Schizosaccharomyces pombe: one gene and its partners. The gene in region 4 interacts genetically with the main gene of each other region. Each region holds a gene or a part of one and is shown on either strand. Other genes may lie near its edges. The genes, in order: SPOM_SPCC4F11.03C, irc6, oca2 and mtl3.

What was found.
Region 1: mutations in mtl3 (region 4) and SPOM_SPCC4F11.03C together harm fitness more than expected from each alone (negative genetic interaction), as found in Schizosaccharomyces pombe (one large-scale study listed by BioGRID).
Region 2: mutations in mtl3 (region 4) and irc6 together harm fitness more than expected from each alone (negative genetic interaction), as found in Schizosaccharomyces pombe (one large-scale study listed by BioGRID).
Region 3: mutations in mtl3 (region 4) and oca2 together harm fitness less than expected from each alone (positive genetic interaction), as found in Schizosaccharomyces pombe (one large-scale study listed by BioGRID).

What each region holds. Positions count from the first base shown.
Region 1 is NC_003421.2:2,006,151-2,012,645, reverse strand, and holds SPOM_SPCC4F11.03C (uncharacterized protein), read left to right. Parts: upstream 1-4,906; coding exon 4,907-5,914; 3' UTR 5,915-5,995; downstream 5,996-6,495. Other genes in the region: SPOM_SPCC4F11.05 (uncharacterized protein), read right to left, coding at 1,857-1,999, 2,045-2,144; mannosyltransferase Imt2, read left to right, coding at 3,450-4,487.
Region 2 is NC_003424.3:2,463,520-2,467,928, forward strand, and holds irc6 (recombination protein Irc6), read left to right. Parts: upstream 1-1,705; 5' UTR 1,706-1,828; coding exon 1,829-1,886; exon of another isoform or gene 1,887-1,926; coding exon 1,927-2,316; exon of another isoform or gene 2,317-2,358; coding exon 2,359-2,550; exon of another isoform or gene 2,551-2,593; coding exon 2,594-2,694; 3' UTR 2,695-2,975; coding exon of another isoform or gene 2,976-3,740; 3' UTR 3,741-3,909; downstream 3,910-4,409. Other genes in the region: mRNA-decapping complex catalytic subunit Dcp2, read right to left, coding at 1-1,432; SUMO-targeted ubiquitin-protein ligase subunit Rfp1, read right to left, coding at 2,976-3,740.
Region 3 is NC_003421.2:756,491-766,380, reverse strand, and holds oca2 (serine/threonine protein kinase Oca2), read left to right. Parts: upstream 1-3,756; 5' UTR 3,757-5,527; coding exon 5,528-7,480; 3' UTR 7,481-8,013; downstream 8,014-9,890. Other genes in the region: heterotrimeric G protein beta subunit Gnr1 , read left to right, coding at 1-211; protein Emc6, read right to left, coding at 8,520-8,530, 8,620-8,875, 8,957-9,016. UniProt on the Schizosaccharomyces pombe protein: Overexpression causes cell cycle arrest.
Region 4 is NC_003423.3:4,050,988-4,058,723, forward strand, and holds mtl3 (protein Mtl3), read left to right. Parts: upstream 1-5,060; 5' UTR 5,061-5,180; coding exon 5,181-6,785; 3' UTR 6,786-7,236; downstream 7,237-7,736. Other genes in the region: SPOM_SPBC215.11C (aldo/keto reductase family protein), read right to left, coding at 1-395; GTPase Cwf10, read left to right, coding at 1,614-1,639, 1,684-2,043, 2,082-2,433, 2,493-4,709; ESCRT III complex subunit Vps20, read right to left, coding at 7,407-7,736.

The DNA of each region.
Region 1 (6,495 bases), on a different chromosome or scaffold from region 4:
TACTAACGAAAACAATATAAAAAAGAACATACCTTTTTATGAAAAGAAAGTGTTTCTATTTAAAATTAAAAACACTGGTTAGAAACCTTTGAACAAGTTTTAACTTGAAAGTCCCACTTATTTGTATGCTATGGGATGGTGTTGGGAGGAGGCAGGTTTGTAAAGCTGAGGGCGGGTTCCTCGGCTCTTCATCAACAAAGGGAAGGGAGAGTACCGTCACGTGCACATGGGCGCAGCATTGTTTCATGCGTTAACACATAATTAGTTAACAAAGCAGGATTCGTTCAGCTCGCTAATACTTGTGTAAATTTTGAGTAACAGGCCAATATCTGGTCTAACGAAATTTTCCGAAAGGACATTACTTTAGTACCTCCTTGATGTGTCAGATGTACACATTAAGGCACCATCAAAAATCCATATCCAATGTTATAGGAAACTGTTAATTGAATCATTGAAAATGAGATGAGACGACTAGTTTCCGGTCATCCATAAGCCAGACAAAATTTTATCCACGGTGGTAAACGAGGTATCAAAGCTATTTTAAAAAGAGCAAATAATGACGCAACAAAAGGTAAACAAGTAAAATGTTGCTTTGTTTACTTTTCGGTCTTCCATTGGAGATGCATGTCGACGGTTGTTGCAAACGAGGTGTTGGATATATTCAAACAAAACAATTGTAAGAACGTGTACGAGCTGAAGGAAATATGTGCTCAAAGACTTGACTTGAAGAAAGTCATGCTGAAATGAAGGATGGAGAGAAGGCAAATACTCTGGAAGTTGTTTATATTTAGTAAAGGAAGAGGTGTGTCGATGGTCGAAGCAGCAAAATGCTTAATACAAGAACAATATATTAACATCGTTCGCAACACTGGTGATAACTTTCCAATCAAAGACTTTATAACAATGCATTAAAGGTTGAAACACAAGAAACACCGATGATGGGGTTAACGAAGTATTCTTGTCGATTAAAGCCATATAATTACGGCTTGGGATAGAAATTTTCATGTACAGTGTCAAGATTGTCAATCCATGTACTAGTGAATATAGTCTAAAGAAAAGAAGCTTGATGATCGTTTCTAAAGACTTACAACGAGGTCACACTCGATTGTTTAATTCTGCTGAACTTTTTTTTTAATGTTGAAACATAATACGCAGGTTAAATCTGGAATAGTAATTCTGCAGTAACGCTTGTCCTATCCTTTTGGATACCTCTTGTTAGTTAACTTTTAAAACCCCAAGAGGAAACAACATCTTTCAAAAACTGTCTTTTCGATTAATTGCGAAATGGAGGTGTTCTCATGAAGAGGGAAGAGAAGAAGAACGTGTCCAATTTCAAAGCTCCAAAAACGAGTACTTTTAGAGTTAATTTTAAAATGTAAATGCTTACTGTATTTTTATAGTCCCGGGAAGTGTAAACACAATGAATCCATCATCTTCGCGTACTCAATTCTTTGAATTCACCAACGTTGCAAATTTGCAAAACTGAGAAGGAAAATAGGTCAAGTTGATATAGAAACAGTAGATTTATATGTCTTTATATTACAAATGATGGAATAAAAACATTTAAAGGGAAAAAAAGAATAGTTATGTGAAAAGTAAACACACAAAATAGCATTTGCTAAAATGGGTCTTTGCAAAATTTTAATCAAACATTCAAGATTTTGATAACACAGTTCTTTATTTTTTATTTTAACAACAAATATAGTATATTCTAATTCCATGCATGCATGGTAAATGCTCATTCATGCACTTTTCTTAGTAGGTATATATATATATATATACGATGATTCTAACGGGCTTTATTCTGCAATTTCATTTAAACACCAAAAGTCATACGGCTATTATATTTGACTCTTTCAGCTGGGAATTAAGTTTTGCTTTGATTTTTTGCCTTTTTCTTGTTCAATAACAATAGCTACTCTATTAATGTGAATAACACTTGTGCAATTAGGATGCTTGTATGGCTTCTTTACAGACATTGTTATCGATTGCTTACTAGCTAAATCAGCCGTTAATATACAAAAATGGTAATTGACTTAATAACAAAGAAACGTGTCAGGTCTGAAATATCGACTGTAGATATGAATGAATGCGCTCAGGTTGAGTATTCTTTTAATCGAAAAACTGAGTAAATCGATCTCCATATATTCATCGACTTTAAATCAACCTCCTTGGAACCGCAAACGTGGAAACCTTTCCCTTGTTGATGATCAAGCTGTCTGCTCCATTGTTTACAGACATGCAAAAAATCAAGCTTAAAGCACATTACCAACAAGAAGCGAACAACCCTCCAGAGTCACTGTGGTAACATTCATGGCTTAGCCGAAGGGATATTCTCCAAGGTCTCGATTCCTAGGAGTGAACAATGCTCAGCTATCAAACACTCCTCTGCAACGAGCGGAAAATTGGTAATAATGCACACTGTAACCTCGGACCTTTTATGACTGGTTTTCTTTCGCCACCTCGGTGCGAAATCTAAAAAGTGTATTGAGAAAAAAAATTGTGGGGAAACCGACTTGTATTGATTAAGGAGACGCGGGCATGCATGTATGTCTTTCCTTTAATGTGAGAAGGGCTTAAAGTTAAAATACTTTCTTAAAGGCAACTGCAACAGTTGAAATCGATTAATGCGCCGCTTACTACAACAAAAAAAAAATTCGCAGTTTAAAAATCTTTAAGAAATCATATTCACATTACAGTCTGTGATTGTGGAAACTTATTTTTTCAAAGATCCATCAAAAAAGATTAAACCGTTTTACATGGCTGTTATTTACCAAATTTTCCTTACATCAAGCCTTTCAAAATATCACTCTTTTTATGTTTACAAAATGTTAGTTTTGGTCAATTTCTTCTCGTATGATTTTATATAGACGCCTTCAAGATTCAGTGTAAACGAAAAAAATAATAGCATGATTTTTTTTATCGTCATGGTGATGCCTGAACACAAAGACAGAGTGGCTTTTATTTATTATTTTATCAAGCAAAACTCCTTTAATAATAGCAATCACTTCAAAATTTCGCATCATCTGAAGCCTTTGTTTACTATTCTGAAGTCTTGAAAGGGTAATATCTTTCTTCCACTTTGAATAAACATAAAAGTAAAAAAAAAAGTTCCTCTGTTTTTCTCTTTTGAAAAACAAAACGTTTTTCTTGATTCATCCTTATAAAATTGCATTTAGTACTGTCACGAGCATTTGAAGCTTTCTAAGGATTACTTACTCCCTAGTTGTTTAGATTAGCATTTCCATTTTCGTTTTCTCTTTCTTCAGAACAGTCTCCATTAGAATTGGACTATAGTTCGTTGCTAACAAGTTCGTCTCTCCATTCATTACTGTATACATTACACTCTATCGTTTTTCGGATTGCAAGTGCAAACCTTCTAAATCTTTTTAAAAATACTTTTGCCCCTTCTGCTGTTAACCCATTGTTGATATTAGAAAACTGTTAGGATGGTGAAAGTCATATATAAATTTGCAGTTTTTGCTGCCGTCAACTTTTTCTTGATGAGTTCCATCGTTCTTTACTTCAACAATGAATTCTTGATGTTTGCAGACAGATGTACCAAGGACATCATTCCTTCCGAAGAACTAAGATATTTACGCCAAGTTCTTAATGATTCAATTCCTTCCAAAGATGAACCGTTGCCAACTTTGAAACTTGATTCCTTGAACGATATTTCAGGGGAACCTGTTATTCCAAAAATCATTCATCAAACCTGGAAAACCACAGAAGTGCCTGAAGGATGGAAAGGTGCTCAACAGAGCTGCATAGATTTACACCCAGATTACGAATACATCCTTTGGACTGATGAAATGTCTCGTAATTTCATTGCTGATAACTATCCTTGGTTTTTGCCATACTTCGATGCTTACCCTTTCAATGTTCAACGAGCGGATGTTATTCGGTACTTCGTTCTTTATCATTATGGAGGAAATTACATTGATTTGGACGATGGATGTCGTCAACGGTTAGATAGTCTTCTCTATTATCCCGTATGGGTTCGCAGGACCGACCCTGTAGGCGTTTCCAACGATGTTATGGGAAGTGTTCCTCATCATCCATACTTCGAACTGATCATTCAAAACCTCGAAAAAAATGCGAAGTCATATTGGCTTCCCTACTTGACTATCATGTTGAGTACCGGTCCCCTTTCAATCAGCTTTCTCTGGGAAAAGTACAAAAGACAACTACCCAACCCACCCGCATTTTACGACCACATTCGTGTTTTACTTGAAAGGGATTACAAGTTTTCCAACGACTCTTATTTCACCTTTTATGAAGGATCGTCATGGCATAATAACGATGCAGGCATTATCCTTTGGGCTAACCGTCACCTTGCATATGTAATCGTTGCAGGATTTTGTCTTTACTTTATCCTTAGCTATATGTTTTTCTCCAAGCTGTTGGACAGCCGTTATGTCCAAAGATTTGTCACATCGAAACGTAAACAACCTACACTTCCTCTTGCTCTTCAAGAAGACGTCTAACTTTGTGCATTGTACGTTTCCGTAAAATATGCGTCTTCTTTCCTAAAGATGATATTTCAAAGCTCTAGTGTGAACAGGCAACTTCGTTTCAATTTATATTGAATGGTTACACGAATGAGCATCCCCTTTTCCGTTCTACTATTAGGAATTCAATGAACATTTGCTATTGCTTGTTATACTGTGATTACGAGACGGTGCATAGAGAATTGCGTTGAAACTCGTTAAGGAACTATGAAATCTTACCACATATAGAGGAGCCTCAACCTTCACCACCAAACACAAGCTACGTACGCGAACGCGAATTCTAGGGCAGAGTTCGCTGGTTCACAAAAGTTTGAACATCCTATTTAACTAAAAGGTTGTTCAGATCTATTCAGCTTTGTGATTGCATAGAACTCCCATTGTTTGTTATTCCTTCCATGGATGCGGAAGGTGAACAAAAGTCCAATGGAGTAAAAGAACCTAATACGCCCCTTCGTGAAGCACTGGATGAAATATTTTTAAATGTAGGGTATTTGCTTCGTTCCCTTTTGGCTAATGTTCCCAATGCTCTTTACCATAGTCAGTTGCAGGCGGCATGTCAAAAATTCCAGGATTATTGCGATTTGGAAGAAATACGCATTATTGAAGCAAAACGTGTTGTTGAGCGCGATTTAAGATCTTTGGAAGCAAAAGAGGTAGAGGAGAAATCTCAGTTCGCGTCTTTCGTGAGCGCTACTCCACCTGGAGCAAACAGTCTTCAAGGCAATGTATCTTTGCCCTCGGGCAATAACTTTTTCACTTCCTCTTTTGATTCTGAGAACATTTCGAAACCGGGAGAGGTTTCTTTAAGCGAAAGTCAGTTACTGGGTAACTTGAACCAACAATCATCAATCCAGCTTCCTGATAGGATGCCAAAAACAACTAATGGGACTTTAGCAGATCCAAATATGCCACCTAAGACAACTGTAAATGATCAAGACGTAACAAAGGATGCATCTCAGCAATTTGGAGGCTCAAACTTTTCTAATTATTTAAGAGACAACGATTCCTTCCAATTTGGAATGAATACGGATGCATCGGGAGATGCTCATCTGCAGGCCAGTGAGTTTTTATTACCGAATCTATTTGGAAATTCTTCTACCTCTCCGCAAGACAACTTTGGTACTTCCAATTCAGCTCTTTCCCGTAATTTGGATTTGTTTGGCTCCCCATCTTCTGAAAATAAAAGTACTGCAGGATCGGCTTCTTTGTTTCCTAACCAGCAAATGGGAATTGACTTGCAAGCACAAGAAAACTACAGTGCTGCGTTCGGTAATGATGGCAGCTTTGCTTCGCATTTAACTAATACGTTTGACAACGCTCTAAATCTTCCTACAGACATTCCAACCACTGAAAGCATAAATGACTTGTTTGGTGAGAACTTTGACTTCACCATGACAAAATGAGTTGAGTTGACTTCAGTTCAGCTATGTATGATCGGTTTAACGTGGTTGTTTCAATTTGTCAATGTTTTTTTCATGTATTATTATCTATTACTATAGTCATTCATTTCCAGATCATTCAACAAAAAACCTATAAACGGTAATTATAAAAAACAATTGCATGTCTTTATCCGGTGAGTATCATTTGATTGTATTGCTCTGCACCTTTATGTATGAAAACTAGAGTTGAGACAGTAAGTAGAAAAGCGTTGTCTTTTTCCTATGTTTAGGCCAATGCTAAAATCTCGAATACTTGGTACAATTAGTGTATGTATATATATTTTTACGTGCAAATGGTATTTTAGCAGGAACGGGACAAAATAAAGACAACCCGTAACTTCAGAATAATAATTATAATTCGACTTTTAAATCGAAAATTAAAGACGATAAAAGGGTAAAATAAATTTTTTTTGGTGAACGTATAGCCTTTGTTATAAACACCAATGCATGCACGCAAGTACATTCATAATATTTGCGAAGCAATTGTAAATAAAAATACCGAAAACACTCACGAAGAACCTTAAAAAGAGTGAAATGTTTGTACC
Region 2 (4,409 bases), on a different chromosome or scaffold from region 4:
ATGATTGACCTGAGTTATCGGAATTTCGAGCTAAAAACTGAGTCTGAGATTGAAAAGGAGGAAGAGAAGAAATTTGTTGAGTCTGATGACCATTTACATAGGGAGAAGAAGATCCGTATGCTGGTTGCGGAGTTTTGCCTAAACCATAGGAACTAACGGAAGTCGAAGTGGGAGGATAAAAAACTTGATGATAAACAGTACTTGGCGAGGGCAATTCCATTGGAGAAGGCATGTCGCTAGCGGCAAATAAATGCTGAACAGAATTTTGGTCTTTAAGTAAATTTGAATACATACTCTGCTGAAAGTGATTATTCAACACAGGTTTATTAGTTAACATGTTGTTTTGAGAAACAACTCTTGGAAAAGAAGCAGATGGATTTTTTGGATCCAATCCAAGGTAAGCAAAAGGATCGAAACTGTTATTATCATGCGATAAACGAGAATTGCTGCTTTGAATGGGGGGATTAAGAGGAAGGTTCGACACAGGAGGAAGTTGAATTGGAGATTTAGGTTCATTTCCTTCATTTAATAAATGCAAGATTTTCTGTTTAATGTCAAAAGAAGAATGTGATTCAACTGGTGGCTGAGGAAAAGTTGAAGGTTGCGGAGTAGCAAGGTCTGAAGGTGCTGTCGAAGATTTCAAAAGAGAAAGCAGTTGGGAAGAAGCATCAGCATCAACATCAACGGAAATGTTCTTTTCTTTGGTAGTGTTATTGGCAATATTCCTCTTCTTAATCCATTTCTTCAATGGCGCCAAAAATGGGATTACCATGTAAAATTTGTTTTTCATGGTCTGAGGTTTATTTTTTTTGAATGTAGGAAGATCCATAAGATTATGCCATTCAATTTTACTAATTTCTTTTCTTGTACGAGATTCAAATCTTGTATCCAAAGATATTCCAGGAATAATATACAATCGAACGTTTTGTCCACGTATAGTCATATCAATAAATTCATTAGGATTTATACGGCTAGAACAGTCAAAGCCTGTTTCTTCATATACTTCACGAATAGCACAATCAACATCAGATTCATCTTTATCAATTTTTCCCTTAGGAAATCCCCAGCCGGATGATGCTTTCCATCCTTTGACAAGTACGCATTGCTGCATTGACATATCAAGCATTATAGCTCCGCGGACAGGAATACGAGTCTTATATCGTAAAAAATCATCAAACGCCTCTTCATGGACCTTACTCCACTTCCACAATAAAGGACAGTGAGCAAAAAGCTTTGCACTAAAAACACGCAAACCTAGTGATGGCAACTGATCGTTTTGCGCACGTATAAAATCTTCATAAAACCAATGAGCTTGTTCGATTTGAAAACAAAGTCGTTCAACGCTACTTTGCTCCTCTGCTGGTAAATTCAAGATAAATCTAGCTGATAAATCATCCAGCACTTGCGAAAACGTGGCATTTGTGAACGACATATTTCTTTTAATATATAGTAGTCTATTGTTTGCATTTAAAATTCTAAGTCACTCCAAAGCACGACAAATTCGTCAACTTTAATTTTTGTGCGTCTTGGTATTTAAAGCCATTTATGCGTGTGCGTATAACACAGAGTTAGGGACACGTAAAATTACGTACCAACCTTCGTTAGTGATAAACTAAACCATTATTGATTTAGGAATGTATCACACTGCGCTATACTATTGCTCAATCCTTGTTTCATTAAACTGTTAGACTGTAGTTAAAATCACAATTTGCCTTACCTTTAGGTCTTTCGAGAATTTATTTATCCACCAAAAACTTGTTTAATATTCTACAGAACTGATTGAAAATATAAAAAAGCGAATTAATTTTTGCTAAGTACATAAAATCATATGCGAGTTATTTTGGTTATAGGTCGCTCTAATTCTGGAAAGCTAGATTTTATTAAGGGTAAATATTAGTGTTCTATTTGCAATTACTAATTGAAAAGCTTTGACGGGTTCTTTACCGAAGGGGTTAGATGACGAGGCATTTAACAATGATCATTCTGGCTTGATTCATAAGTATAATATCAGAAATAAATATTTTGAAGCTTCGGTTGGTATTTGGATTGAAGAATATTCTAATTTAGCTGAAACTTTGGATGCTTATAGTTCTGAAGAAGCGAAGGAAGTTATTGATAGCTTAGGTGCCATTGTATATACTTTTCGAAGTTTTGATGAAGCTGAGTGGTCTCTTTTTAAAAATTTTATAGATAAACTACAGCTAGAGATTCCGGTAATTGGGTTGCACATGTCAGATGAAAAATTACTAGAACCACCTGATGTGTTTACCCCAGAATATATTTCTATCAGCGAGGAAGGAGTGAATGAATTCAATGGTAAAGTCAACCAATCTTCTATTTATTAACAAGTCTCTTTAGAGAAAGTAGGACTGGACCGTGTTCGAGAAATTCTCGATTGCTGCGAATGGAACTTGTCACAAGTTGATAAAAGTTTCTCGGAAGAAAAGGATGATGCCGGAGATTTCTATCTCCCGGAACGATTCAAAGGAAGTCCAGACATGCAATCGACGGATCTGGATAATTTGATGAAAGAAATGAACCAAATTAGAGGTTGGTAACTCCTTGAGTCGACTAAACTAACAACGAAATTTAGATGCTGACCTGGAAAAAAATGAGAAAAAGGCCAAGGCTTTAAATCTTTTAGAAAAATTGTTAGGCGATGAATTCGAGGAAAATGATTATGAATCGCTGTAGAAACAAGGCCTTTGTTCGTATCCGGAGAATACATGTTGTCGCTGGAGCACAAATTGATGTATAATAACTATTTGAGTTTGCAAGAAAGGTTCAATTAAGTTTTATCAAAGTATTTTTTACTAAAATCTAAATCTGCTGTATTGAAAGAGGACCTATTAGCAACTTAAAAAAAATTCGTAAGTAAAGCTCAGTCACAAATTGTGATAATTTTGGTCGTATTTCATTATTATAGACATTATAAATCCAACACAATGGACTACATTTTCAATGTACAAGGTTCGTCAATAAAATAATTCCCACATGGCATTTTTCGTATTTAAATAACGGCCACAGTCATTCACTAGACATTTTGACTGAGATCGTTTACTGGTTTTCAAAACTTTTGCACAAGAGCCACAATAGACGTGACCACACTTTGTTGCCCATAATGCAGATTTCTCTTTGCTTTTGGATGTTCCTAATGGTTCCTGACATCTTGGACAAACCATCAATGTATCATTGTTAAAGCTTCTAGTAAATCCAGATTTTGGAGGGCCTGGAGGCTTGTAAGACTGTTTTATATTTTCTAAAGAAGAAGTAAAATCATCATATGATTCTTCAAAATGGTTAGAGAAATATTCGTCGTCTGAACCGTTAGTCCATTCTGGATGTATAGCGTCAAATCTCATTCGGTTCACAATCAACTGGAAAAGAGAAGGGGATAAGGAATTAACAGAACTAAACTCAGGAAATGTCCTGGCAATCATTCCCATCAAATCTCGACGTGAAGAAGAACGACGAGTGGACACCTGAGGACCTAAGTAAATCATGTCTTCCAAATACGATAAATGATTTGAAGGAAAGTTACGAGACCGTTCATTCCTTCTCCGGTTCATACGCCTTCTTCGAGGACTTAGAACAGGAGATGATGGAAAGCTGTCATCAGGAATAGCATCCAAATCAATGATATTTGTTGAAGAAATAGAAGTTTCGACTGGTGGAGAAGGTGATCTCGTCAAATCAATTACACTGCTTTCATCTATTCCATTGCTTCCATTAAATTGCATTGATGTGTGAAAAAAGATACACAATTGTTTCCTGTCAAGTAATTGACAACGGGCAAAAAATTAAGTCGATTTATTTGTATATATTTTGGCCTTGCATATATTAACGAAACGGTATTATTTAATATAAAGCTCTAATGTATTGCTGTATATCAAAATACCGCAGACCAACAGTTCGGTGCATTTTTAAGGCAATGTCCAGTATGCTTTATTATTTATAAACTAATGGCTAGTAAAGAAACGTAAATTAGAAGTCGCATTTCTTTGTTTACACATTATCTTTATAAAAAGGAAATGACCTTATGTGATAATTTACTGAGAAGATCAAACGCCAAAGAAGATATGGCGAATAGAGGAATTTTACGAGCTTAATTTAGCAAGAAGAACCAAAAAAATATGCCTCTAGTAGACGATATGGATTTTTTATTAAAGCACAGAAAATGAATTTAAAATACTAGACGATATTTGATAGTACAATTGTTGAAGAATTAGGATTGTATTTATTAAATCCGCTAGATTCTGAAGTTAAACTTTCACAAATGAGTAATTGGAACATCAGCGCTTGAATATCAAGTTCCTGTCTTGAATTTTTTTGAGTATAAATATGATAAATCAAATAATGGATAACACTGCTTTTAGACCAGCATCAAAAGCGAGCGACATTAACAAAGA
Region 3 (9,890 bases), on a different chromosome or scaffold from region 4:
GGATCTTGTGGAAGAAACGCATGTGACGGGAAATTACGATTTGACGGTAAACACAGTACAAGCGAACCCTATAAACATGCAGATAAAGTGTGTATGTTATGGAAATAGAATTTACAAGTATGAGAAGGATGAAAGTGAAGAAGAGGATGAAAGTAAAGAGAAGGATCTTTGGACAGGAACGGTTTCGGCTTTACAGGTTTGGATGGATTGAAAAAGCAAAATTTGGAATGAATGAATACTTGAAAAAATAAAAAATGGTGAGCTTGAAGGAAGAACTTTATGAGGATGATTTGATTATTAATAGAAAAACATTAGAAAACCGGTTCTAAATTGGTGTATTGGTGAATGGGTGTTTTTTTCGCAATCAGGAGGAGTCCTCAGACATGTTGAGGGGTTTCATTATTTAGATTATGATAAATTAAAAAATAAAAGAGATGAATTTTATGCAAATAGTTGATTATAAGAGCGCAACAATCTTTGTATTAATAAAACTACACATTCGCTTATTAAATAACCTTAAACTCGGTTATACATGGATTTCCAAGTGTCGCAAGTAGAGGAGAAATGGAGAAAATGGAAAGCAAAGAATGGATGAAAATTGTAAATCAGCAGTTTCGAACTTTTCAAAAATTTGTTAAAAATATTAATTTTTCAATTTAATTGAATTTTGTTTTACAAGGTGGATACTATGGAGGAAAAAACAAGATATGTATGGAAAAGGTAGCGATCGCAAAGGAAAAAAAATATTAGAAAAGGAAATGGAATGAAATTAATTGAACGAAATGAAAAGGACATGAAAATAAACAGAAGTATAGAACAAGAAAAAAAAAATTTTTTTTTAAAATAACATAAGGATGGAAGTGATCCGGAGTGAATAAATAGAGGGAAATGAAAAAAATAAATAAATAAAAAATAAATAATAAAATAAAAAATATTTATATACACATACATATAGATTGGAAAAAGATGAAAGAAAAAAAATGAACCAACCAATCTATCAATAAGTAAATCAATTAATCAATAAATATATAAAAATAAAAATTCTAAAACCAAGAAAAAAAAAAGAAAAAGAAAAAAGATTGAAATCTTATAAACAAATCCTTCTACGCTGCATACAAACACGTTACCACAGTCTGGAGTACTGTTGGAGAGTGAACCGAGACAGCCGCGGGGCGGTCCTTCGGCGAAACCAACGAGACGTTAAATATTTGCGATAATATTGTATAGTGCAAGTATGATAAAGACCGGTAACAAAAGTATAGCGGAAATTGAAAACCAAGTGCAAAATCTTCCAACGAGCAAAAGGTGTTACCCAAGCACGTCAGATGCATCAACCGAAGCAAAAATGTTTAAACGCAGATGAAAAGCTTATTGGAAGAAAAGTAAATTTAAGGCCAACGATTGGAGGAAGGAAAAAGTTTGATGGGGCAGATCCATTATGTTACACCTTGACTTTGTCGGCAATCAAGTCAAGTCAAGTGCCGAGGGCGCGCCAAGGTGGGTAAAGAAAGAGACAAGAGCAATACCGTGACGATCGGAAAAACCATTACCGAGAAATAAGGAAGGCCGGTAAATGGAATGAAACGTGGAGCGGCCAAAGGAAGAGAGAGAGAGAGAGTAGGAAAGAGTGAGCGAAGAAGGTGTCTGTCTGTAATAAGAGGAAGAAAAAGATGAGATGAAAGATGGATAGAGAGAGAATTGTAAGACATTGATAGAAACATTGATGGATTGGAAAAGAAAAAGAAGAAAAATCAAAAAGATGTTGGCAATTGTTTTGAATTCTAGTCAAAGAGTGAATGTTATATGTTTTTATGCTTAAAAAACAAAAAAACCATTCGAATGTAAGAAATGGTTTGAAGCAATATAGCCAGCGAATAAAAAATAAAAAATAAAAAATAAAAGGAAAAACCGTTCGATTCAAAGCAAAGTACAAACAAAGCCACAAAAGGATCTTACTAATAACGAATGCTACAAAAAACTAGACCAACTAACTAAACAAGTAGCAAAGGGATATAAAGAGGTACAGCGAAGTCACTGAAAAGATGAAGATAACGAGATATACAGATGTCATTAAAAGAGTGGTATAACGAAATATAGTGATATCACAAACCCACAGAATTTTAGGGCTGGTAAGAAAAGTAAAGAGAAGAAAAACAAAACAAAAGAATAAAAAAAACAAAAAAACAAACAAAAGGAAAGGCTGATGTGCATATAGTCTCAAAAGTCAATCGAGTTTAGTTTTACTTTTTCATGAGCATCTAGCATTTGCTCTTGTTTTGTGTTCGGCCGTCTGACTGTTTGGATGAGGAAGAAGAAAATTTTGTAGGGCGGCCGTGAAAGAAAAGGAAACAAAGGAAAAATTAAAAGAAAATAAATAAAATCGAATTAAATTAAATTAAATTAAATTAAATTAAACGAAATAAAATAAAATAAAATAATAATAAAAATAAAAATAAAATAAAATTGTAATTGTAATTGTAATTGCATTTGCTTTTGCTTTTGCTCTAGAAATGCTCCAATGTCTTTCCCTCGTACTAGTGTCATTGTCAGGATGCTGGATGGGCGAGATGACAAACGAGGAATAGTGTGTGCAATAAACAGGAGAGAGAAAGGCAAGTGAGAAGCAACAAGAGTTGAATCAAACTGAATTGAATTGAACCAAATTATTATTCTTCTTATAATCAAATTATTATTCCTCTTTAATCAAATCACTATTCCTCTTTAATCAAATCACTATTCCTCTTTAATTAAATTCCCATTCCTCTTGCTTACTGCCGCTCTTTTTTTCCCCCTCCCCTTGTTTAGATTTGGGTTGCTGAAATTTTCTTTTCTTTTTTTCATCCTCCTCCTCCTCCTCCTCCTTACTTTATTTTGTGTTTAACTTTTTTTCCCTTCTTTCCTTCAACTTTAATAAACCCGATCATTCCTTCCGATTGATCCTCTGCCAAATTTCCACCAAACGGTCGGATCCAAATTCAATGGAAAAGGAAGCGACTGGCGGTCGCACGAAGCAATGACCATGGCAGATGGATGAAATGATAACATCAACGGAATTAATTTCCTGACAAATGATGATACAAAGTATTGAATGAAACATGTCAATCATCATTTACTTATCTACATTTCCCACACTCTAGTGAATTTCATACTTTAGCTAATTTCAACACTTTAGCTCTAGCTACTCTTCCACCTCTTTAATTTTTTCTTTAGCTCTCTCCATCTCTCTATCTCTTATAACAATCTCTTTTTTTATACGTTATTCATCTTTAACCTCTCCCTTTCATCCCATCTCAATTCCTCCTTCGACTCTCAATCGCCCCCCATCTACCTTCTTTCGCTCTCCTTCTCCCCAACGAGGTCGCGTTCCTCTTCGCTATTCCCCTCTACTCCCCTCTCTCGCCCCACACACCGCCTGTCTCGCTCACTCAACTCCCTTTCGCCCTCCCCCACGTCATCCCCCCTGCTTGCTAGCGTTTAGCCTTTCGTTCTTCCTCTCAGCGTTTAGCGCGGTGCAACGGATTGTGGAGTCGCTCGCCGGAGGTAACACGTTGTAGCCGAACTAAAAGTGACATCATACTTCGGCACTTGCATGGGTGGGATTCCCGGAGATCGTGTGGATTTGCTAGCTCCTCCATCCAATGCGACTCGGCAGTTGATGTAGAGCGGCCATTCGAGATTACATGGGAGATGCTGTAGTAGACTGCGTGTTTCGTATACATATATTATATACACCTGCCGTGCACCGCAATACTTTTTGCCTTTTCCCATCCACTTTTTTTCATAGTATTGTTGAGAGCCACATTGATTGATTCCTTTTTATCAAGGAATTGAACCTGTTTCTCGTCGTCTTTTTTTTTTTTTTTTAAACTAGCAAATAAAAAAATTCATTGTAAGATTTGAATTATACTAAAAAGCTCTACTTCACTCCCCCGTCAGTCATAGTCCAACAACTTTGACTCAACAAAGCAAAAGCAAAAGCAAATCAAACCATACGATACGATACGAAAAACGAAAGTTTTTTTTGTCCATTGCATTGCTTTGATTCCCTTTGGTCTATCTGCCTTTGATTTCTTTTCTGGGTAAAACAGGAATTGAAAGAATTTTGAGAAAGTAAACGAAAAAATAAAGATTGAATAAAGCATAAAGATCTTATTTCCCATCAAAACATTGTTGTTATTGTTGTGATTTCTTCTGAAAAACAACAAATCAATTTCCAACTTTTCTATTCATTTACGCTTTTTTCCAATTCCCTTAATTTTCCATCCATCCATCCATCCTCATTGAGTCGAATTCTTTCTACTCAATTTGCCATTCGTCCCTTCACCCTTCCTATTCCACTCCCTTCTTTCCGGCTTCTTCCGTTTCGTTATTTGGTGTGATCGGTATCCCGAAAGTGAGTGAGTGAGTGAATTGTGTGATTCTCTTTCCCCCTTGGTATTCTTCCTTCAATCAACATTCTTTCGAATTCCCTTTTTGGGTTGATTTGTTCTTTGTTGTTGTTTTTTTTGTTTTGTTTTGTTTTTACGTACGTTCTATTTTCTATGAATACATAGAATTTCCTGTTTCGTAATCTCAATTCATTTCTCATTTTTCATACTTTATTTGAACCCAAGGTTTTCACACTTTTTCTTTATCTTCTCTTTTTTTTTATTTCCTTTGTGTGCTTTTCTTAAAGCCTCTTTTTTTTCCTCTTTGTGTGTCGTGATCGATCGGATCGTCTCGTCGGCTCACTTTACCTTGAATTTCTCCCTTTGGAAAATATCTACTGATATACCTATAAAAAGGTTCCCCATTCCCAATTAATTCCAGTATTGTTTTTTTTCCCTCTTCCTTATTTCCTTTTTTTTTTGTTCTTGAAATCTCTCATTCCTTTGTCGTTGCGCCAAAGAATTTTCCATAAACAATAACCAATTCGTTGTTGTCAGCGCTCGATTTCCCATCAAAAAAAAGTTATCTTCTTAGGAAATACTTATTTCTTTTCTCTCTTCAACCCTTTTCTTACTTGGAATTTATTTATTTATATATTTATTTATTCATTCTTCCCTTGTCATCCGTTGTTTTAAAAAAAACTCGCTTGACATTTCCTCAATTTCCCATCTCGTCTGACAGTATCTCCGTTACAAACTAATATCTGTCAAAAATCTTTGATTTTTCTCTACTTTCTCTTTGACGTGTTTGTTTATTTCTTGTGTTCCCATTCACTCCGTCTTGAGATTGCCTCTTTGAATCGTACTTTCTTACGCAATTGTTTTGTGTCGTACTTGAAAACTTGTATTGTTAAATAGTTTAACAACTACATTCCTTTGAGTTCATTCAAGTTTCTCTTTTGTATTTTCCTTGTTGTATTCTGAAGTTTTCTGTCTTTTTTCTTCCCTGTTTTTTACCTTTTTACCAAACCTTCCACTTGTTGTTTGGTTCATTGTAAAACACTTTTTTCTCTAATCTTACCGGTGGTTTGCTCTTCAGTGAACTAGAATATTTCTTTTGTTTCTTTATTTTACAATTGCACATGATTGCCGTTACGAACATGTCTGTCACCCCTCCCAATGTACAGTTTAACCTTAATGGGGATAGCGATCATAAATCAGACAATTCCAGTTCCTCACTGGAAAATAAACTTGACACTGAATTAAAAATAACGAGTCCTCCTCGTAACCCTCCTCAGCGTTTGCATCCTGTCGACTTTTCTGAGCACGCTGATACGGACGATGATATGAATCATCCTCTTCCCAGAGTTCAATCCCCCGTCCATATAAAGAATCACATTGACCCTAAACTTGCCGAGGATCGTTATCGTTCATCTGCTGCACGTCACTTCGAACCTATTTCCATTCCCCCTTCCGCTATCACCTCTGAGGATGAAGATGATTATCATGGCTCTGCTAATTCTTCTACCGTCCTTCCCCCTCGTACTGAAAATGCTTTACATGCTGCTAGTCCTAAACCTTCAGGTTCGACTGGTTACACCTCTCCTGCTCTTTCACAAAACAGCGGCAGTGGTGGTGAAGGCGAATCTGATGAAGGCTCTTTTAACACTCAGCATCATCGCTCCCCCATTTTTCAGGCATACCCTTCTTCAGAAGACCTTGTCGGCGATCCCAACGATCCTTATCGACGCACCCGCCGTGCTCCTATTAAGACAAATCCACATGATATCCCTTCACAGTTCATTTTCAGAAAGTTGGGTCTTCATCATGGAAAGCATGGTCATCATGGACACTCTGGTAGTTTATCGTTGAAATCTCTTGTTCCTAATCATCATGACAAGCATGATAAGCATGACAAGCACGAAAAACATCATAGTTCTTTAGATCTTCGTCGCTTTTTCAAATCCCATCAAAAGACAGACAAGGAGAAAAAGCCATCTGTTTCCAAGTCAAAATCTTCCGCTAACCTCCAAGATGATCATTTCGGTCTTTTCAAAAAATACGGAAAATTTGGAAGAATGCTTGGCTCTGGTGCAGGCGGTTCTGTCCGTATTATGAAGCGATCTTCTGATGGTAAAATTTTCGCCGTCAAAGAATTCCGTGCAAGAAGGCCTACTGAAACCGAGCGTGAATATGCCAGAAAGGTTACTGCTGAGTTTTGTATTGGTAGTGCTTTGCACCATACCAATATTATTGAGACCCTTGATATTGTTGAGGAAAATAAAAAATTCTATGAAGTTATGGAATATGCTCCATACGATATGTTTTCCATCGTAATGAGTGGTAAGATGACAATGCCTGAAGTTTATTGTTGTTTCAAACAACTTCTCTCAGGTGTTGCCTATTTACATTCGATGGGTTTGGCGCATCGAGACTTGAAACTCGATAATTTGGTTGTGGATAGTAATTGCTTTGTTAAAATCATTGATTTTGGTAGCGCTGTCGTTTTCAAATACCCCTTTGAAGCCGATATCGTTGAGGCCACTGGTGTTGTCGGTTCGGATCCATACCTTGCACCAGAAACCTTGGTCCGGAAACTATATGATCCTCGTGCAGTGGATATCTGGTCCTCCGCCATTATTTTCTGTTGTATGGCTCTTCGCCGCTTTCCTTGGAAATATCCCAAGCTTTCAGACAATTCTTTCCGTTTGTTTTGTATGAAACAGCCTTCAAATGATGCTGAGTCTCCCAGTGATATACTTGCTGACATAAAAAAACAGCGCTTAGTCGAGCAAGGATGCGAACCTATTAGAAAAACCGATGAATCACATAGTCCAAACTCTAAAACTGATAACTCTTCAACTCATAAACAAGAGTTGTATGGACCCTGGAGACTTTTGCGCCTACTACCAAGAGAAACTCGTGCTGTTATAGCTCATATGTTGGAGTTGGATCCTGTTAAGCGTTACGACATTCACAGGGTCTTTGCAGACAATTGGATTAATGATATTTCGATGTGCCATATGGAAAATGGTAAAGTTATTCATTCTCCAACACATGTCCATAATTTGGTGGCTTCAGAAGAGTCACCTGCTCCACCTGCAAAGCATTAAAAACTTATATTGTCTTTCCCACGTTTGTTTACAAAGTCGCCTTGGATATTGGTGATCTGTTAAACGATACCAAAAAATGAATAATGTGGTGGCTTGTTAATGAGCTAATCTCTTAATCGTTGACGGTGTAACTTAGTTTTCTTTTCAGACTTTTTTTATGTTAAAAAATACTTTATTCTTTGATTATTAGGGACATTTCAATTTCTTACTATAATCTCCTCTATTTAATAGTCAGTCCCTTTTTTATCAGCTCAACTTTATGATTGTTGGTGATTTTTTTTTTCTTTCTTTGGTTATTATATTATTATTATTGTCTTTGTGAGGTTAGCTTGTTTATGAGTTATTTATATGGTAAATAGGGGAAATCTACTGTGGTAGATTAAAAATATCTCTACAATTTTGAAAATAAATGTAAAATTGTCGCATCTTTGAATTTGGTTTTCATTTTTTAGTAAGTTTAGATAATACAATACAATTCATTAGTCTCAAAATTTTCAAAGATCGTGTTTGAATATGATATTTTGTCCTTTTCAACCGTTGTCAAAGTTGTTGCAAATATTGAATATATGCAGTGTTTACTTCAACTGTATAATAATGGTAAAACACGTGTTCAAAAAATAAATGCCTAGGCATCCATGTGCCCTGAAGCAGCTAGTTTTTAAGCACTAGAGACAATTTCTTAAAGAAGTAGAACATATCTCATGCAAAGTTTTCGAAATCAAATTTAAGGAAGACGACATGAATACAACGGAATGTGTGTGCTATGTTCTAGCATCGCTGACAGGACAAATATATTTTAAACAAATATCCTATTTTCTATAGGAAAAGTAAAGAAATGTAAAAAAACAGTTAGATTTGTGTTTTATTAGGAAATACAAAATATTTATAGGATGGGTTCACGAACAAAAGGAAGAGATCCACTTTTTTCTCAAACAATAGATCTTAATGAGGTATATGTGTTATTAACGAAAGGGCTGAACAAGAATAAGGAGGGTTCATCTTGGATTAATTGCCAAATGCATAAATCAAATTAAACACATTACTCATAAACTAATGACTTAGTTAGCGTGTAATTGTTTCAATGCGAGATCTGACTATTCAAACAAAATAAAATAGCAACGATCGAGCAAGTTTCTTACCATATACTAAACTGTAGAACAATGTCCAAGTTAAAACATAAGAAGGTGCGCCATCTAATATTTTAGCGATCCAAAACTTATATCCGGGCTGGTAATACTTAGTTAAGTTACCACGCATTTTCAATGCAAAGAGTAGAAAGGAGACGAAGAAGTAACCGAGTACATACAGAGCAAGCCCTTCATATGAAGTTAAACCCAAAATACCAGCTGCGCACCCGAAAAAACTAGAAGTCAAGTTTCGAACAAAAGAAACGACCTTTGGATTCATTAGCACTCAATTATAAAATCCTTAAAAAAACTAGTACCAAGAAAATCTAGCTCTGCAATCATTTCTTACCTGTTCATTATATGCAACATTTTCTACAACAATTGGAGCGACGCCTTTATCCCTTTCCATATTAGCTTATGAACAATTCTGATGTTTAGTTGAGTTCACCGCTTGTAGAATTATAACCAAAAAATGATGGATAACGCATCTTTATACTGCGGTATTAACTACATAAGGACTTAGTAGGAACGTAATTTTTTCGCAGCTTGACGTATCCTTAAAAGCATTTTGCAAACTGCGTAATTGCCAATCTTTCATGTAAAGCTACAAGCGATATGGATATGGGAAAAAGCATTACTTTTTGCTTGGGCTGAATGTTGGCTAGTTTGGAGGGTGAAATAGTTTATTCAATACAATTGAGTACTTTATTTTTTTCCATTTGATTTTTTTGAACAGAAATGGGCTAATTACTAGGATATTGGGAAATCGCATTGTTTAAAAGAGGTTCTCGTTTTACATCAAGGTCGATTTTTCATATTTATTTGTTTTAGAAAAAAGTATCATCTTATATTTCCTGTATTACTGGTTTTCTAATTCTAAAACTTGAAAATGGTGGATGAAACGTTACATACTAGATTGTTTACAGTATACCGAAAGGATTAGAGACTCGTGAACATTCGTAAAAGCGACATGCTTATACTTCCAAGAGAACGAAAAGCGAATTTCATTTCTTATTTACAATAGAATAGTTATTCTCATCATTCAGTCACGATCACTTTTTTCTTTACCAAAAATTGTATACCTAAATAGCACAGTATAATCCACCGCAAATTAACGTATCGTTAATATGTTTATGATCAAATACTATGTATTTGCATACCAACGCTGCGATACATTAAATAAAAACAAGCAGAAATATGAGAATTCAATAATAAAGGAAACATTTAATAATTCCAAAAGCGAATTGCTAATTTTTTAATTACTTTATTTTACAATATCCTAT
Region 4 (7,736 bases):
TCAATTTGCTTAACTCCAAGTCGACGCATGCTCATAAGTACTTCTTGACGTAAAAATTTGGGTGCTCCACAAGGATGCCATTCATTTGGACCTGTACGAACAAGGCCACCCTTGGTAGCAATTATAAGTCCTTTGTAAGGGTATAAAGCTTCTCGTAAAAGATTCTCGCTGACCTCAGGGCCGTAAGAATCGGCGGTATCAATAAAGTTAATATTGAGTTCAGGCAAACGTTTTAAAGTTGCGATGCAAGCCTCTTTGTCTTTGGGTTCATCCCATATACCATCACCGGTAACTCTCATTGCTCCGAATCCCATTCTATTGACAACCATGTCGCCAACCTTGACAGTCCCAGCTTGTGAAGCATCTACGGCGGAAGAAGCTGCAGTTTTACTCATTTTTGTGTCTTTTGTCGCTTTTCTTAGAAATCAAGATCAAGTACTATAGTGGATCCGGTAAGTGTGGGATGTCAGACGCCGTTTCCTTTTATAGTAATTTTACATGGTGTATTCCTTACATAAGCTGGATTGATGCGGACTATCTTAAACCACGAAAACTGATTTATTACATACCCTATTTACAGAATCCAGTGGTATGATGTAAGAGCGCGTTAGACAATATATTGTCATAACGATGACTAATACTATTATAGTACGATATTGCTGGTTGGATTTTGAATTAGAGTAAATAGCTAAGTCCTTTTTGATTTGGCTCTTATTCAATTTAATGATAATTTTATGGTTCCAAAATCTGATGCTGGATGAATTGTCTAAACTGTATCTCTGTCTTCTTTTGCCAGCCCATTTTTATTCATGAGCAACGATGGTCGCACATAACGATAATGATCTTTATTGCTATGTTTCTTTCTATTCAAGATAATGTGGATTTATATTTTCCATCTTCTTGAATTATGCTTGATCGTGCTATCAAATCGTACTACGAGTTATCATTTGGAGACCACAAATGGGTTGACCAGTTCCGTAAATCGAGGTAAACATTGCACATAATAACAATTCTAGGACTGTATTTGAAAGGAAACACATTTTTTGAATTTAGTTGATGATGCCAGTATATTATTAGTGTTATTGACATTCAGCAATTTGTTGTGTGTTTTATAAACACACTAAATACTTTGTACAGTTGCAAAACTTGCGCTCTAAAAATGTTTGCACCGCACTTTTACAATGGCTATTTACTCTTACTATTGTCTTCGAAAAGCTTATAAATTTGGCTGCTAAACATGGGTCGGTAGCTCAAATCGTAGACATAACCAGTCTTTTAAGGTCTCAATTACACCCATGTACGACTTTTAAGGAGGAAGTTGGTAAATAAAAAAGTATATTTGGTTTTCAATAATTACGATTCATTCCTTTCTATCAAAATGAGACGATGTCGTTCTTCGGCAACCTTAAAGAGTGTAGTGGAAGTTACTGAGCCGATCATATCTCGTTTAGAGAGTATAAAGACAATGATTTCTCTAGCTCATTATCAAAGCTTAACGAGATATAAATCGCAGTTGAGACATGAATGCGCTAAAGCTCGAAAACTTGGTTACACTTTACTTCAAATTTGGTAATTACCAAAAGTTGTGCATTGTGGGTACTTGGCAGTAACTGATGATGGAAGAGGATTTATATGATGAGTAAGTGGTCTAAAAACATTTTATAGTTATTTCTAACTCGCCAGGTTTGGAAATTACATAGGCCCTGAAAATGAAGAAGATGAAGAGGAGCTGTTTCCTCAGGCTCCTAGCCCTACAATTGCACAGGTACCATCCTTTGAAGAGGTCATTCCTGATGAAGAATTAGAAGACGTTGAAAGGGCCGAGGAAATGGCGTTGAGTCATCTAGAGCCTCAGAATGCCGTTGTTCTTCACGAGGATAAACAATATTATCCTAGCGCTGAAGAGGTATATGGGTCCAACGTGGATATCATGGTTCAGGAACAGGATACTCAACCCTTAAGCCAGCCCATTATTGAGCCAATTCGTCACAAAAGGATTGCTATAGAAACAACAAACGTCCCAGATACTGTATACAAGAAAGAGTAAGTATGTGTAACAATGTCTTTTCTAACTTTTTAAGGTTCCTCTTCGGTCTCTTAACTGGGACAGATGACGTTAGATCTTTTATTGTTGCTGGCCATCTGCATCACGGCAAAAGCGCTTTATTAGATTTACTCGTTTATTATACCCATCCTGACACCAAGCCGCCAAAAAGGCGTTCACTTCGATATACCGACACTCATTATCTTGAAAGAGAACGTGTGATGTCTATAAAAAGTACTCCACTTACGCTCGCAGTTTCTGATATGAAGGGTAAGACGTTTGCATTTCAGTGCATCGATACGCCTGGTCATGTCGATTTTGTTGATGAAGTCGCTGCTCCTATGGCCATAAGTGATGGTGTTGTATTAGTCGTTGATGTTATTGAAGGTGTAAGTTATTCTGGCCTTTTCTTGCGTTTTGAAGATATAAAGATTCTAACATGCTTTAGGTGATGATTAACACCACTAGAATTATCAAACATGCGATTCTTCACGATATGCCAATTGTGCTCGTCTTGAACAAAGTTGATAGGTTAATCCTTGAGCTACGTCTCCCTCCGAATGATGCTTACCATAAACTTCGACACGTTATCGACGAAGTAAACGATAACATTTGCCAGATTAGTAAAGATTTGAAATATCGCGTTTCTCCTGAGTTAGGGAACGTTTGTTTTGCTTCATGTGATCTTGGATATTGTTTTACATTGTCTAGTTTCGCAAAACTCTATATAGATAGACATGGAGGTATCGACGTGGACTTATTTTCTAAAAGATTGTGGGGGGATATTTATTTCGATTCGAAAACCAGAAAATTTGCCAAACAGTCCTTGGATGGCTCTGGCGTTAGAAGCTTTGTCCATTTCATATTAGAACCGTTGTATAAATTACATACCCTTACTATTTCTGACGAAGCCGAAAAACTCAAAAAACACTTATCTTCTTTCCAAATTTATTTAAAACCCAAGGATTATTTATTAGATCCTAAACCACTCTTGCAACTAATTTGCGCATCGTTTTTTGGATTCCCCGTTGGTTTTGTGAATGCAGTTACTAGACATATTCCATCGCCTCGAGAAAATGCCGCTCGTAAAGCCTCTCAATCATATATTGGGCCTATAAACTCTAGTATCGGCAAGGCTATCTTAGAAATGAGTCGTGAGGAATCAGCACCATTAGTCATGCATGTTACTAAACTTTACAACACCGTCGATGCTAATAATTTTTATGCATTTGCTCGTGTATATAGTGGTCAGGTTAAAAAGGGTCAGAAAGTTAAAGTTCTTGGAGAAAATTATTCTTTAGAAGACGAAGAGGATATGGTGGTTGCTCATATTGCTGAAATATGTGTACCTTGCGCACGATATCGTCTTCACGTTGATGGAGCTGTTGCCGGCATGCTAGTTCTTTTAGGAGGTGTTGATAACTCTATTAGCAAAACAGCAACCATCGTTTCGGACAATTTGAAAGATGATCCTTACATTTTCAGGCCAATTGCTCACATGTCCGAGAGTGTTTTCAAGGTGGCTGTAGAGCCACACAATCCATCAGAATTACCAAAACTACTTGATGGCCTACGAAAAACAAACAAAAGCTACCCACTATCTATCACAAAAGTAGAAGAATCTGGGGAACATACTATTTTCGGTACTGGTGAGATGTATATGGATTGTCTACTTTATGATCTTCGGACTTTATACTCTGAAATCGAAATCAGAGTTTCCGATCCAGTTGCTCGTTTCTGTGAGACTGCGGTGGACACATCAAGTATCAAGTGTTTTTCAGATACTCCAAATAAAAAAAATCGTATCACAATGGTAGTTGAGCCATTGGAGAAAGGAATTTCTAATGACATTGAAAATGGAAAAGTTAATATCAATTGGCCTCAAAAAAGAATCAGCGAATTTTTCCAAAAGAACTACGATTGGGACTTACTAGCTTCACGTTCCATCTGGGCTTTTGGTCCCGATGATCGTGGTACGAATATATTGCGGGATGATACTCTTAGTACAGATGTTGATAAAAACGTGCTTAATAGCGTAAAAGAATACATTAAACAAGGTTTTCAATGGGGGACTAGGGAAGGTCCTCTATGTGATGAGACAATCCGAAACGTGAATTTTCGCCTGATGGATGTAGTGCTTGCACCTGAACAAATTTATCGAGGAGGTGGTCAAATTATTCCAACCGCAAGGAGAGTGTGTTATTCTTCTTTTTTAACAGCGTCTCCACGGCTAATGGAACCAGTGTATATGGTTGAAGTACATGCCCCCGCTGACAGTCTTCCTATTATTTATGATTTATTAACGCGTCGTCGTGGTCATGTCCTCCAAGATATCCCTCGGCCAGGTTCCCCATTATATTTGGTGAGAGCACTTATTCCAGTCATTGATTCTTGTGGATTTGAAACAGATTTACGAGTGCATACTCAGGGTCAAGCTATGTGTCAAATGGTATTTGATCATTGGCAGGTAGTACCTGGTGATCCACTGGATAAGTCTATCAAGCCCAAGCCATTAGAACCCGCACGTGGCTCTGATTTGGCGAGAGACTTTCTGATTAAGACAAGACGTAGAAAAGGTCTGGTGGAAGATGTTTCTACAACTCGCTATTTCGATCAAGAAATGATTGATTCTTTGAAAGAAGCAGGTGTCGTACTCTCTTTGTAATGTCGGTTTTAAGTCTTTATAATGGATTTTGCAAAAAAAAATAAATTGGGTAGATTTTAATAATAAAGTATACGATTATTTATGAAAGTTCGAGAAGTCTAACAACTTTTTTTTGCTTTCAAATCTCGCGTTTACAGTGTATGAAATCCGAAAAATCAGCGCATATCTTGAAGCCGTAAATTATTTGTGAAATCCTTGATCAGAAGGAAAAGTCGCATTTTGGTTTTACGATTTTAGTATATAGATAAATAACTTCTATTATTTATTTTTTTATGTTAAGAAACTAACACTCAACTGAAATAACGTAATTTCATAGTACTATAAACACCCGAGGTCATATGTCATGAAGTTACCCTCTCAGTATACCGGAAGACTTTAGGGACATATACAACTTCCGGAAGTGCTCTGCTTTTGGAAGTAAAATACAGCGAGTTTAGTTAGATTAGTTTATTATTATCCTTAAAACTGAAGATGGGTTTGAGACTTTTGTTTTCTCTCATTTGCGTATTTTGCATATCGAACATTTTTACGCAAGCCTTCTTGGTGCATCAAATATATGGTAATTCCAGCTTCACAAAAATATCTTTAAATCAACTTGAGGGCAGAGATTCTCAAGAGGAACTACAAAGGCGTCAGGAAATCCGATATTATGGTCGTGCCGCTGAAACTGGAGGAACTCCTACTTACTACGGGTATGCGACACCCACTAGCTCTAGTGAACCCAGTATCTTTTCTGAATCTGCTACTCCCTCAGAAACTAATTCTTACTCGTCTCCGGTCAGCTCTTATTCTGATCCCGCAACTAGTCAGCTTCCCTCGTCGACTTCTTTCTTTTCACCTACTTCTTCTGAATATACGCCTTCTAGTACGGAATCCAGTTCTCTTCTGGACCCAAGTTCTGTATCATCAGCTATTTTACCAAGCAGTACTAGTGTTGAAGTAAGTATTTCTTCATCAAGTTTGTCATCTTCTGATCCTTTGACTTCTTCAACTTTTTCCTCCTTGAGTTCAAGCACTTCTTCAAGTCAGCCATCTGTGAGCTCCACCTCTTCTTCAACCTTTAGTAGCGCAGCTCCTACTTCCACTAGCTCCTCCTATTTGTCTAGCTCAAGTGTTGTTTCTTCATCGAGCTCTCCTTCATCCTCCTCTAGTTCGACACTTACTTCCTCTTCATTAAGTACTTCTTCTATTCCTTCTACTTCTTCTTCATCATCTTCTACTTCCTCGTCCTTGTCTTCTTCCTCTTCCTCTTCTACTGCTTCATCTTCGTCTTCTTCTTCTTCCATTATTTCTTCGTCCTCCTCCTCTTCTTCTTCTCCCACATCTACCTCTTCTACTATTTCTTCTTCCTCCTCTTCCTCTTCTTCTCCCACTTCAACCTCTTCTACAATTTCATCGTCGTCGTCGTCCTCTTCTTCTTTCTCTTCCACCCTTTCTTCGTCTTCTATGTCTTCGTCGTCGTCGTTCTCTTCTTCTCCTACTTCTTCCTCTTCAACTATTTCATCATCATCATCTTCTCCTTCCTCTTCTTCTTTCTCTTCTACTACTTCTTCCTCAAAGTCATCTTCTTCTTTCTCTTCTACTGTTTCTTCTTCTTCGAGCACTTCGTCTTCTACGTTAACAAGTTCTTCTTCTTCAAGCTCTCGTCCCGCGAGCTCTTCATCTCATTCCTCGTCTTTGTCAAGTCATAAATCATCCTCGTCTTCTAAATCCTCTTCTGCTCCAGTATCTTCAGCTTTTTATCACAACAGCACCTCTAGCAGAAGCTCTAGTCATTCATCTAGCCATTCATTATCGAGCTTGAGCTCAAAACCAATTCTGACTGCTAGCTCATCTTCACTTCTAACTTCTTCAAGCCATACATACGAAAGGTCAACTGTATATGTGGTTACGGTGGAAACTGTTTCTAGTGGATCTAGTACTTATGCATCTCAGTCAACTCAAACTAGCATTTTGTTGGTCATTGTTGGTGATAGTTCATCGACAGACAGTTCCGGGGCTTCTTCAACTCATAGCAAGACATCGATTTTCTTTAGTTTATTTGTTGTTTTAGCTGCTGCGATTGTTATTATTTAATTTGCCGAAACGCTCGGTCTAAAATTAGATTCACTAAAGTTTTGAATCTTTAATGCTTCTTTTAATAACGTGAACTGTTTATTTTATTTTTTTAAGAAGCTACAGAATGGGTTGAAACCACGCGGATCTTGTGGTTTATTAAACGTTTTGATACCTATATTTATTACTATTAAACCTGGCTTATATCTTTGCTTGGCGGTCTGCTACTTAAATTTTTCGTCGAAGGCTTTTTTGATTTTATTTGTAATTTATTTCAGCAATTTTAATGTCGCAAATTATTAGTAAATAGCGACTCTTTTGATAATTAATGTTTTGGACCAAAATTACAAAAATATTTTTTTACTGAGAATTCCACTGGATTAGTAATTAATATAAATTGATTAAAAACACGATCAATAATGATCGATTAATAATTAATATTGGTTGAAATATCATTCATTAAAGTTAGCTGAGTTCAAAGTATTAGCGAATGCAGTTCCGTGATTAGGAATTAGGATGTAGAAGTTGATGCATTAAAGAAAGTTAATAAAACGAGATGAAATGAGAGAATATATGAGATGGAGAAAAGCAAATAACAAAAATAAAACGATAACAAATACAAATACAAAGCCAGATCCATAGTTATCCCAGGACTGGATCTTTTCGAAGTTCTTCATCGATAACTACAGCACTTGAAGTATTGGAGACACTTGCTGCTTTGGGGAAGCTTTCATCCAATGACGGAATTGCATTTTTCAAAGGCACCGAAGGCAGCACATCGACGCCAGTGGAAGGAGTAAAGCCTGGTTTTTCTAAATCCTTCACCTTTTCATCCTCCTGCTCTCGAATTAAGGAGTCTAACTCTTCTTGGATTTCATCTTCTTGATCTCTTGACATACGACCTTGAAGCATGTCATTTACCTCATCCACATACGACATTGCTTCATCTCGATCGTTACATATTCTCCCAAC